Saccharomyces cerevisiae S288C: one gene and its partners. The gene in region 3 interacts genetically with the main gene of each other region. Each region holds a gene or a part of one and is shown on either strand. Other genes may lie near its edges.

What was found.
Region 1: mutations in PUB1 (region 3) and YEH1 together harm fitness more than expected from each alone (negative genetic interaction), as found in Saccharomyces cerevisiae (2 studies listed by BioGRID).
Region 2: mutations in PUB1 (region 3) and ATG32 together harm fitness more than expected from each alone (negative genetic interaction), as found in Saccharomyces cerevisiae (2 studies listed by BioGRID).

What each region holds. Positions count from the first base shown.
Region 1 is NC_001144.5:123,422-127,177, reverse strand, and holds the start of YEH1 (sterol esterase), read right to left. Parts: upstream 1,645-3,756; coding exon 1-1,644. Other genes in the region: mRNA-binding protein PUF3, read left to right, coding at 2,464-3,756. UniProt on the Saccharomyces cerevisiae protein: Mediates the hydrolysis of steryl esters, thereby playing a central role in lipid metabolism.
Region 2 is NC_001141.2:73,733-77,488, forward strand, and holds ATG32 (mitophagy protein ATG32), read right to left. Parts: upstream 2,042-3,756; coding exon 452-2,041; downstream 1-451. Other genes in the region: pantoate--beta-alanine ligase PAN6, read right to left, coding at 2,622-3,551. UniProt on the Saccharomyces cerevisiae protein: Mitophagy-specific receptor that recruits the autophagic machinery to mitochondria and regulates selective degradation of mitochondria.
Region 3 is NC_001146.8:600,902-604,657, reverse strand, and holds PUB1 (Pub1p), read right to left. Parts: upstream 1,752-3,756; coding exon 390-1,751; downstream 1-389. Other genes in the region: YNL018C (uncharacterized protein), read left to right, coding at 2,884-3,756. UniProt on the Saccharomyces cerevisiae protein: May be associated with hnRNA within the nucleus and remains associated during nucleocytoplasmic mRNA transport, once the proteins are in the cytoplasm, disassembly of PUB1-RNA complexes may occur prior to PAB1 binding and formation of a translationally competent RNP complex.

The DNA of each region.
Region 1 (3,756 bases), on a different chromosome or scaffold from region 3:
CTTCTTGGAGTAATAGTTGTTCAAATTCTGTAAAATTGGTTTACCAATTCTCTCTATGACATCATGTGCCCATAGGACATCAATATGGGCATACTCATCAATGTACCAGATCTTGTAGTTGACATTCGACTCCACATTGACGAAATGATTGATTAGTCTTTCTCCGTCCACCAATCTATCTTGCTTTGGAACAAACAAGTAGATATTTGGGGCCTTTGATGCGTCTGAAAACCACTTAACATTGTCGGGGAACATCTTATGGGAACCAAATTTAAAACTTACCTTGTTGGGGTCGGGTGACAGCCACCATTGCATCAACTTCACTGAAACATGGACTGGCGAAAACAGGAAATGGCGATCTCTTAATGCGGTATCCCAAAGGGTATCGTTCCAATCAAACAGGTAATTGAAGATGGTGTAACAAACAAAGGAGAACAAGCTCTCACCAACGCACAAGTTTCTTACAATCATCATTATCTCAAAAAAGCTCGTTTCACCAAAGAACCAGGGATTTTCGATTTCCTTTGTCATAAGCTTAACAAACAATTTCTCGTTAAGTAAGGGACCAGGATACACTGCGGGGGCCAAGGCAATATAGTTTGCGATCTTAGAAGTGAAAAAAGATTCTTTAGATCCCGAACCGGGAGGGAAAAACTTATCTTCGTTGACCAAGCCCATAAACCCCTGTGTAGTGCCCTGAGAATGCGAGATCAAAGTAAGCTTTTCAAACTGCGTCTTAGCTAACACGGTATCAATCAAAAGGGTCAGATCGTACTTAACCATCTCGCGAAGGTCCCAGTCCCACCTGGAAGCTAGTGTCGGTACTTTCGCTTCGTTCCATTCCGGCCTAAACCCGCATCTGTTATTCCCTAACCATATGTCGTAACCGGATTGATACAGAAAATATGCCAGAGATTTTCTACCATTGGATGCGAACGAACCACTGCTTTGCAAAAGGCCATGTAGCATCAAAATGGGTGGCCTCTTCTTCTTGTCAGAATCTGTCGTTCTATATTTTGGTATCAAGTGCCACAAATCTATAACAAACCCATCTTCGGTCTCCAATCTAAATTCCTCTATTTGAATATTGTACTGGTTAAAATAATAATTAAGATCCGCAACTAATGTCAAGTCTTCCGATAAGATTAGATTCTGTAATGGATTGTCGCACTGTACAGGAATTTTTTCAAAAACCGGTTCATGATTGGCAATTTCATTGCTACTATTATTGAACTTTCCTTGCGTTACGCCTTCGGTAACTTTTTCCTTCTCGATAAACCTAAAAATAAGCTTTGTCAAAAATTTGTGAAAAAGGTTTTTATGCAGTGACGAGGACCCCACTTCGTGGTTCTTTTTACGGACAACCGTTCTTGTATGATCGTAGACGATACCGTTTTTCTTGTCATGTTCCAGATCGAGGTATGGCGTCGCGTATGCATTGGTTCTAGTGAGAACATGGTCATGGTGTACGTTTCTTTTACTTTCGTCATCAACTTCGATTTGGGTCGATGAACTCCTAGTGTCTCTGTGCTCATTTATAAAATGGTGTGCCAGCGCCAGAACAAGCACTACTGCCATAAAACAGCAGACTATGAACGTTGCTAGTAAATTCCTAGCTCTTTTCAACACCGCAGAAACACCCATCGTGTGAATTGTGCAGTAAATATACCTATATATAAAACTATTACTTTATCTGCAGCCATCTATATTAAAAAATAAGTATTTTTGTGTATAACAATAGATTTCTATATATATATGTATATATATATATATATATAAATTTAGATTAACCACAATATCATTTTATCGCTGCATTTTTTTCATCTTCTTTCGTTCCTTCGCGTTTCTTTTCTCGTATATAATAAGCTTTTGCACATTGCCTGCGATACGTCCGAAAAGGGAACGTTTTTTCCCGATCAGACCGCCCCAGAACTTCTCGAAGAAAAGTGCCCGAGGGCAGAGCAGCAAGACCTAAAAAATTCGTGCCGGGGTTTGAGCTAGAAAAAGAGGGCTAAAGATAAACATCCGATCGCTATCTACGGTAATTGCGCACTCTGTTACCCTGAACTGCATTTCTTTTTTCCTTCTAAAAATTGTGGAGAGAGGAAGATAATTTCCCAAATGTACCATTAGCACACTTGAGAATGTATATTGGATGTATGAAGCTTGATGAATAGGAGAAAAAAAAAAACAAAGAAAAGAAGGAAAAAGAAAAATAAGTGGTGCCTGCACATATTTGAATATCTACTGTAAATAGTATAACACTGCTTAGCTAATTTTTTTCTGGTCATCTGGTCTCTAAAGAGAAACATAAGAAAAAGATAGGAACATTGAAAGGCGGTGAAAAGGAAACTTCCTTGCTACTGATATATCTATAAGCATAGAAGTACGCAAGCAAACAAGAAAACAAACAAGAACTACGCATTTAAATTTCTTCTGAATAACGCAATATTGCGGGTATAAATGGAAATGAACATGGATATGGATATGGATATGGAACTCGCATCCATAGTTTCTTCTTTAAGCGCCCTGTCCCATAGTAACAACAACGGCGGTCAGGCCGCCGCGGCCGGCATTGTGAACGGCGGTGCTGCTGGATCACAGCAAATTGGCGGCTTCAGAAGGTCGAGTTTCACCACGGCAAATGAAGTAGATTCAGAGATCTTGCTGCTTCACGGTTCCAGTGAATCTTCACCGATCTTCAAGAAAACCGCCCTATCAGTTGGTACTGCTCCGCCATTCTCCACGAACTCGAAAAAGTTTTTTGGTAACGGCGGCAATTATTACCAGTACAGATCAACCGACACTGCCTCCCTGTCATCCGCATCGTACAATAACTATCATACTCATCATACTGCGGCTAATCTCGGGAAAAACAACAAGGTCAACCATCTTCTGGGCCAGTATTCAGCTTCCATTGCTGGTCCCGTTTACTACAATGGCAATGACAACAACAACTCTGGTGGGGAAGGGTTTTTTGAGAAGTTCGGAAAATCTTTGATTGACGGTACAAGGGAACTGGAATCTCAAGATAGACCCGACGCTGTCAATACTCAGTCCCAATTCATATCAAAAAGCGTCTCTAACGCCAGCTTAGACACACAGAATACTTTCGAGCAAAATGTCGAGTCTGACAAAAACTTCAACAAATTGAATAGGAACACTACTAACAGTGGTTCGCTTTACCACTCCAGTTCAAATTCAGGCTCATCTGCGTCTTTAGAGTCCGAAAATGCTCATTACCCCAAGAGAAATATCTGGAACGTAGCCAACACACCAGTATTTAGACCTAGTAACAATCCAGCCGCTGTTGGGGCCACAAATGTCGCGCTTCCTAACCAACAAGATGGGCCTGCAAATAACAATTTCCCCCCCTACATGAACGGCTTCCCACCCAATCAGTTTCATCAGGGCCCTCATTACCAAAACTTCCCCAACTACTTGATCGGATCTCCTTCAAATTTCATCTCCCAGATGATTTCAGTACAGATTCCAGCAAATGAAGACACCGAAGACTCAAATGGTAAGAAAAAGAAGAAGGCAAACAGACCTTCTTCTGTTTCTTCACCTTCGTCCCCTCCAAACAATTCTCCGTTCCCGTTTGCCTACCCCAACCCAATGATGTTTATGCCACCTCCACCACTCTCTGCTCCCCAGCAACAACAGCAACAGCAACAACAACAACAACAAGAAGACCAACAACAGCAACAGCAACAGGAGAATCCTTATATTTACTACCCTACTCCAAATCCTATA
Region 2 (3,756 bases), on a different chromosome or scaffold from region 3:
GGAAATATTAACGCGCGGCGCAAAAAGATCGGGTAATTTGGGCGTTTAAGTACATGAAGGTAGAATATTTCAAATATGATGTCAAAGGCGATAATAGTAACTTCTAAATGCATTCACATTTACAGCGATAGTTTCCTTGAAGTCGTCGGAATACGCTCTATGCGCTATGGTTGATTTTTAATTGTTTTTTTGTGTTGAGACGCGAAAGTAAGGAATATATAAAGAAACTTAAATTTGCTAACAGAAGAAATATTTTATAAGCTGTTTGTTTATGTATTTATGAAACCAAACAAAAAATTGCCTGTATAATGAAAGAATTTTCATATTTGATAAGCTTCTATGTAATTAAGGAAAGGAACCAAACGGGGAATATAGATACGCAGTGAGAGAAACAGAAGTGATAGTAAAAAAGTGAGTAGGAACGTGTATGTTTGTGTATATTGGAAAAAGGTTACAATAGAATATAACCCAGTGCCAAAATCCGATTAGATTCATCAATGGAAAATTCAGAGCTTTTATTAAGGTTCTCCAAAAATTTTAAAGGTTTAGAAAGAGCATGCAAGACAAAAGTATTCATTTTGCCCCAAGTCTCCTTGATTATGGTAAGACTTTTCATAATGAATCCATCGGAGTGGAAGTTTATCTGAAGCGTACCCTTATCAAACCATAAAAACTGCTCAGTTGAAGAAGGAGATGCAGTGGCGGGCGTATTGATTGTGTCGCTAGAGGAATCTAAGGAAAGTAAAGAGGCCAATATGGAGGGCCGCAAACTTAAAGACTTAACTGTTTGGTGTTCGTATGCTGCAGTGACAAAGTATGTCACACAACATCCAAAACTAATTCCTATAGTAATTGAAATGCCCCAAGTGAACCAGCTCGTGAAGAACTTCTGCTTCTTTCTCTTGGGTTTTTTATTCGATTTAGGGGATTTCTTTTTTGAGTTTTCGGCTTTTTTGTTACGACAATAGGACCGAGACTTTGTATGTATAGCTTCGTCATCATTATCTTCCTCATTCACATCTTCTCCGTATTCCAAGGATAAATCTTGTAATCTTTGAAACATTTTTTTCAAATCTCTTTTGTTGGTCACAACAACTGGAGGAAACAATAATTTAACAAGTTTATTCCTTAAGAATGACTTCAGGACGTTTTTCACTTGGATGACTTGCCCAGGCTGGCAGATCGGTATTACAGGCTTGCCTTGAGAATATTGAACGATCCTGTTTAGCAGAGATACCATCTCTCTCAGCTCCTGAAAAATTATGACAATCCCCGTATATTGCGGGAATGTTGCGGAATCGTGATATTTGGGTAATTCAAAAAGAGATTGGTATTCTTTTGGTATTGATTGATAAAAGCTGGAACCAGTCCTTCCCAGTATTAGAAGGCGAAAAACTGGATTCTTTTGTGTTAGTGATAGTTTGGGCATAACAAAAGAGTTTGTCGAAGAAGTCAAGCTTTTTGTTATCGTCACACTATCTTCCTCAAAAGCCTCATCTTCATCACCATCATCATCTTGCTCGTTAAAAGGAGTTTTTTCCTTACCAGGCAAGGGCAGCGATATTATCTTCTGTAACTGTTTAAAGGGATGAGACGGTGAAACGACATTTGCTCCTTCTTGTCCTTGTTTAATAATATTTATTATATCAGCAGCAGGCGCTTGAAGCAGCTCTTGTTCTTCTTCAGAAGTATCACTAGATGATAGAATACTTCCATTAGTCGTTTGAGAAGAGCACCTTTCTGGGATGAAAGAAGCGCCCAAGTCCAAAGGCTGAATGGCTTGCCACGATCCTGATATACTATCGTTTACATTGTGGTTGCCGGATATGTCAATGGACGTAACCAAGTTCTGTCCCATTGGCGAAGGCGAATGCCCTGTCTTACTCAACAATTCCAATACTGATAGATGAGGGTCAAGTAAGCCTTTGTCTTCCCCAGTTTGTGCTTCAGAGCATGTGTGAATAGTCGTTGACGAGGAATCAGGTGGCATGCTTTTAGATGAGGATCCTTTACCTTCCCTTTGTTGGTATTCCAAAACCATATGTTTACTGTTCCTGGCAGATTTTTTTTGCTTTTGTGATTAGGACTTCAATATTGCTTATCGATAAGAGAAGTCACAACTGATAAGAAAAATTGTCAAAAACGAGAAATGGGCTTTGTAAGAAAATATTTCAACAATAACCCAAAAATATAGATTTTAAAAGTATAATGATTATGCCTCAGGAAGCTTACTGCACCTTATTTCCTAAATAACTTTTTTATTACTTAATAGATCTGTTTCTTTTTTTTTTTTTTGTAAAAGGGGTGCGTCAAACAATAGATATATGCTCTAGACAGACGGTGATCTAAGATATTTGAGAAAGCACGAAACAAGTGCCAAACAACTTCAACTTTGCTGAAGTAGTATAAACTTTGCTTTTACTATGCAAACTGTGAAAGACGATTTGTCCTTTCCATATTTGTGTTTTGAGCGATGGGGATGTCGTCCCTTCAGCCGTCTAAAAAAAAAGTCATCAAGCGTGAAATCTATCATCCCGTTGTTGGTTTAAAAGAATATCGTGCATACTGTATAAGAGTGGTATATACTGCAACACAGACACGGGAAGGCCCAATCACCTAGTTTAAATAACGATGTTATCTATTAGTCTGACGACCGTATCGGGTTTTTCGCGGTCAGTCACGTATACAGCACAACTAATGACTATTGGCTGCTGTTCGCTGGTGTTTTCAACATCGGAGAGTTCATCAAGAGTCTTAAAATCTGCTAAGGAAACATAGTCGATTTTGAAATCGTGGGAATCAACGTAGGGTGCCCATATTTGAGTCACAGTATCGATGATTTCTGATCTGGAGAGACGTCCCCCTGGTGCTAGTCTCCTAATAGCATTTTCCGCAGCTTTCAGCCCGCGGTAAAGGTTTTCAGAGATCTTTAAAGACTCTGGACAAAGATATTTGTTTCTACTACTCAGAGCCAGTCCATTATTGTTTCTTACAATAGGCATCATTTGTAGCCTTGTATTAACAAACAGTTCGTCCACCATACACTGTAAAACAATGAACTGTTGAATGTCCTTCTGCCCAAAATAAGCCACATCCGCCATAACGATATTGAATAGTTTAGTCACGACAGTTGCCACGCCCCTAAAGAAGTTAGGTCTCGTCTTCCCCTCTAATTTTTCACTCAATCCAAGAACACTAACAAAAGGGCCTTTCTGCTCTTCTATGTCGAGCGGAATTCCCTGTGGATACATCACGTGTGCATTAGGAGCAAATAGAACATCCACCTTCAACGACTCAAGCAATTTGATGTCGTCTGGCAAAGTTCGAGGATAGTTATCTAGATCTTCCGTTGGCGCAAACTGGGAGGGATTTACAAATATACTGACCACAGTATAGGTGTTTTCCTTCACAGACTGCGAGATCAAACTAGCGTGACCCGAATGCAGGCAACCCATTGTGGGAACGAACCCAATAGTTTCTCTAAATCTAGTTTCCCTCAGCTCCTGTGTTCTCCATTGAACAACTTCTTCGACAGTATGGAAGATTTTCATCAATTCTATATGGATATGCAGTATAAAAACTTGTATAAAACAGTGCAGTATCAACACACACCACTTCTTGTACACATAAATATGTACGCTACATCGAGAAATGTTCATTAATCTCTTGTTGGAAAATATGACAAAAGAAAAAAACTCGTTAAAGTAACATTTACCCGGATATCTGTTCAGCCAACATTATAAAAAAGATGGGCGC
Region 3 (3,756 bases):
AAAAAAAATAGGGTAAGAAAGGAAAAAGGAAATATAATAAAGAAAGCCTTCAGAAAATACGTTCTTTATTTTTATCACACTATTAGCAATGACTTTCACATTTTAAAGGAAAATAATAGTATTAAAAATTAAACAGTGACGAAGGAAGGAAATAAGACACAGAAAAACTAAAAAAATAGAGTAAGTTTATAGGCCCTTTTATTTTTCGAGCAATAGTAAATTGAGTTTCTTCTTCTTTTTCTCTCCCTTTTTCGTAGTAATTTTTTTTTTAAAAATAGTATAATATAATGAATGGATTCTTGTCGTTCTTTTTTTATTTTATCTTGGGATTTGTAGGTTGCCTCTCTTTATTCTTTCTTTTTGTTTCATTCCACTTTTCTTCATAATATTTATTGTTGTTGCTGCTGTTGCTGCTGTTGCTGTTGTTGCTCAGACATAACCGGTTGTTGTTGGTCATTCATTATAAGTGGCTGACCGCCCTGTTGCTGCTGCTGTGGCATAAAATTTGATCTTTCCTTACCCCAACCGGTTCTCAAGTTTCTGCCTTGAAATGGGAAGTTTGCCAAGGCAACAATACAAACAGCGGCCTGTTCATGAGTGTCATACTTTATGAAGCAACAGCCCTTTTCTGGATAGTGCTTGAAATCTAAAATAAAACCGAAGTTCTGGAACAACGGAATTAAATCAGCTTCAGTGGCAAAGTGCGGAATATTACCGATATAGGCAGTAGTAACTCTTGGTGGGGCACTTCTAATGATGTGGTCAACAGCTTGAGGATTTACTTGAGGAGGTAAACCAATGGTCTGGGATTGTTGGGGTTGGCCTTGAGATGGTAATGGCATGGCGCCAATTGGCATTCCCATTGAACTTGGTGGCATGCCCCTGCTGTTGTTCATATTCATATTCATGTTCATATTCATCCCCATATTCATGTTGTTATTGTTGTTACTGTTATATTGACGGAAACCACCACGGTTGTTGTTACCGTAGTTACGACGCTGTTGATAATTATTATTGTTATTGTTATCACGCTTAGCAGCCCAGTTGATTCTTAGCGGTCTACCATTCAAATCTTGACCTTGCATGCTGTCCATGGCATTTTGTGCATCATCTTGAGAAGTAAAGGAAACAAAACCGTAACCTCTTGAACTACCAGTTTGCATGTCCCACATAACATGACCACTCAAGTAGGATGGGAAGTCTTTGAAGGCATTCCTTAAAGTTTCGTCATCAACATTAACATTCAAATCACCGACAAACAAGTTAAATGTATCATCGGAGGAACTCTGTTGGGATTGGAAGGCCCAGTTGATTTTGACAATGTTGTTTTCAATTTGTTTGCCGTTCAATGTTTGTAAGGCAATATTGGCATCGTGAGATTGATGGTATTCAACAAAAGCGTAATTGACGTTCTTATTATTCTTATCGATCATGATTTTGATGTTAGCAATTGGTCCGCCAACTTGGAAATATTGCTTTAAAATGTCTTCGGTGATAGCTTTGTCTAGGTTACCAACATATAAAACTCTATCGGAAGTTTCCCTACCACCGGTAATAGCATTAGCAGGAACTACGGAAGGATCATTTTCACCCTGATTGTCTTCAGCTTGTTCAGAATTGCCTTCGACAGCGACGCTCTGTTCAGAAGAAGGATCTGCTGATGCTGGAGCTTCAACTGCCGAGGGAGTTTCGACGGCAACAGGTTGCTGTTGTTGTTGTTGTTGATGTTGTTCTTCGTTATTTTCAGACATTGGAATCGAACAAAGAGTAGATGTGGTAATCTTCTTATTATGAACCTGCTATTAAGATGATAGAAGGGAAGATTAAACTCTAACTTAAAGCACGAAATGGAAACAGTAGATATTATGAAAATAACTGCAGAGTAGAAAAAAGGAAAGGCATGCTTTACCGTAGTTGAATGATTATTACGAGAGGAAAATGAAGGACAAGGAAAGACGGCCAACGATGAAAAAAAAAAATTGAAAAATTACAACAAAAAAGAAGCGAAGGCAAAAAAAGTTGAAAAAAGTACGAAGTGAAAATACGTAAAGAATTATGTTACAAAATGATGAAAAGAGAACGAGTAAATATTCTCTTTGAATTAATTAGTATACGTTAGGATAATTAATCTTCAGAGGTTTAGTAAGAACATTGTGCTTACAACCGCAACGCGTAAACCTTATGCTAACAAGCCTCTTCGTTCACCTCCCTTGTAACGGCAGTGGGAAGGGTAAGCAAAATAAATCACATTGCGAGAAATGTAAAAAAAGAATGGTCTCTAGCGGGATCGAACCGCTGATCCCCGCGTTATTAGCACGGTGCCTTAACCAACTGGGCCAAGAGACCATTGTTATCTGTTTTTCACCCTCCCTCCACACTATCAAACCAACGTCACAAATGTGTGCCAGAACCACCGCTCATTATCTCTGTGCCACAAAAATCAACTTACACTGTCATTCGAATTTCCGGCAAACTCCGACTGAGAAATGTTCGTACTACTTCCTTTCTAGGGCACATTAAAGGAAAAACTCATTGAATGCACCCTTCACAAATCTTAATATCTCTGACCTTTGCATTGTATTAACCAAGCAACCCTCCCTGTGCAAGTAGAAGCCCTGGATCCTTTGTGGTCGTAAAATGAACAAATACCAATAAGACGAAAACAAAAACAAAAACAAAACGACATAGCAACAATGCGGAATTATTTAAGGCTGGCACTCTTTCCGCATGTTTATCACAATTATTTCCACTTTCACTTAAAACCTTGTTTAAGCTTGGCCTACACCACAGGAAAAAAAACCATCCGATCTAATCTTCAAATATCAATTTGAGGTTGAAAAAATTTGCTAAAGCGTTGGTCTAATTTTGTTTTTCGCCCACATAATGTCTACATCTTTCCAGGAGTTCAAGGCCTTCTGCAACAAGGTTGGGCTAGACTTTCAATGGCTTAATTTGCAATCCTCCAAGTCTGTTCCCGAAAACGGTTCCTCTGAAGGTTTCTCAGCCGTCAGTGATACCGTACAAGAAAACATCAGACCAGCTACGGAACCACTTAACGTCAACCAGTCCAAAGATCCTGTCAGCAACTTTTTTTATGATGTCAAGAATGCTCCACTCTGGAACGTGTATAAGAGGAATCATTCCGGTCATTCTTCTGCTGAGGCTTGTTCTGGAGTAAGTTCAAGGCAGGCGCCAAAAAACATACCCGAGGCAATGGTAAAAGAGACAGTCCTTTCTAATCACGACAATGTCACCATAATAAACGAATTACTGCCAACTTCTTCTGCCATGCATCAGGAAGAAAGCACCGCTATGACAACCTCCTACCTCTTATCCCACTCCGTAAACGATACTTGCAACGTGATGTTTTCTTCCTCCTCCCACAACCGTGCTATGCTCCCATCTTCTCTTGTGCAAAGAAATAACGCTACCACATCTCCCACAACAGACTCTGCATCAGAAAACAACGAATCGGTACCCTCACTAACCTCATCTGTTAGCACATCCTCATCAGTTTATTCGTCATGGAATCCTCCTCATTCTCCACACATATCGTCATTTCCAGACGGCAATTTCGCATCGCTTAACGCAGAAGTGACTTGCTTTGATTTCCGCCGCACCAAGGACTCCAGAACAAAAGAGACGAATGAATCTATCATTCCAACTGAAATTTACTGCCCAACAAATTCCACTGATCACCACAAACATTATCCAAGCCGAAAATCTAAACAAGATGCCTGCGCTCCTGCTCCCTGC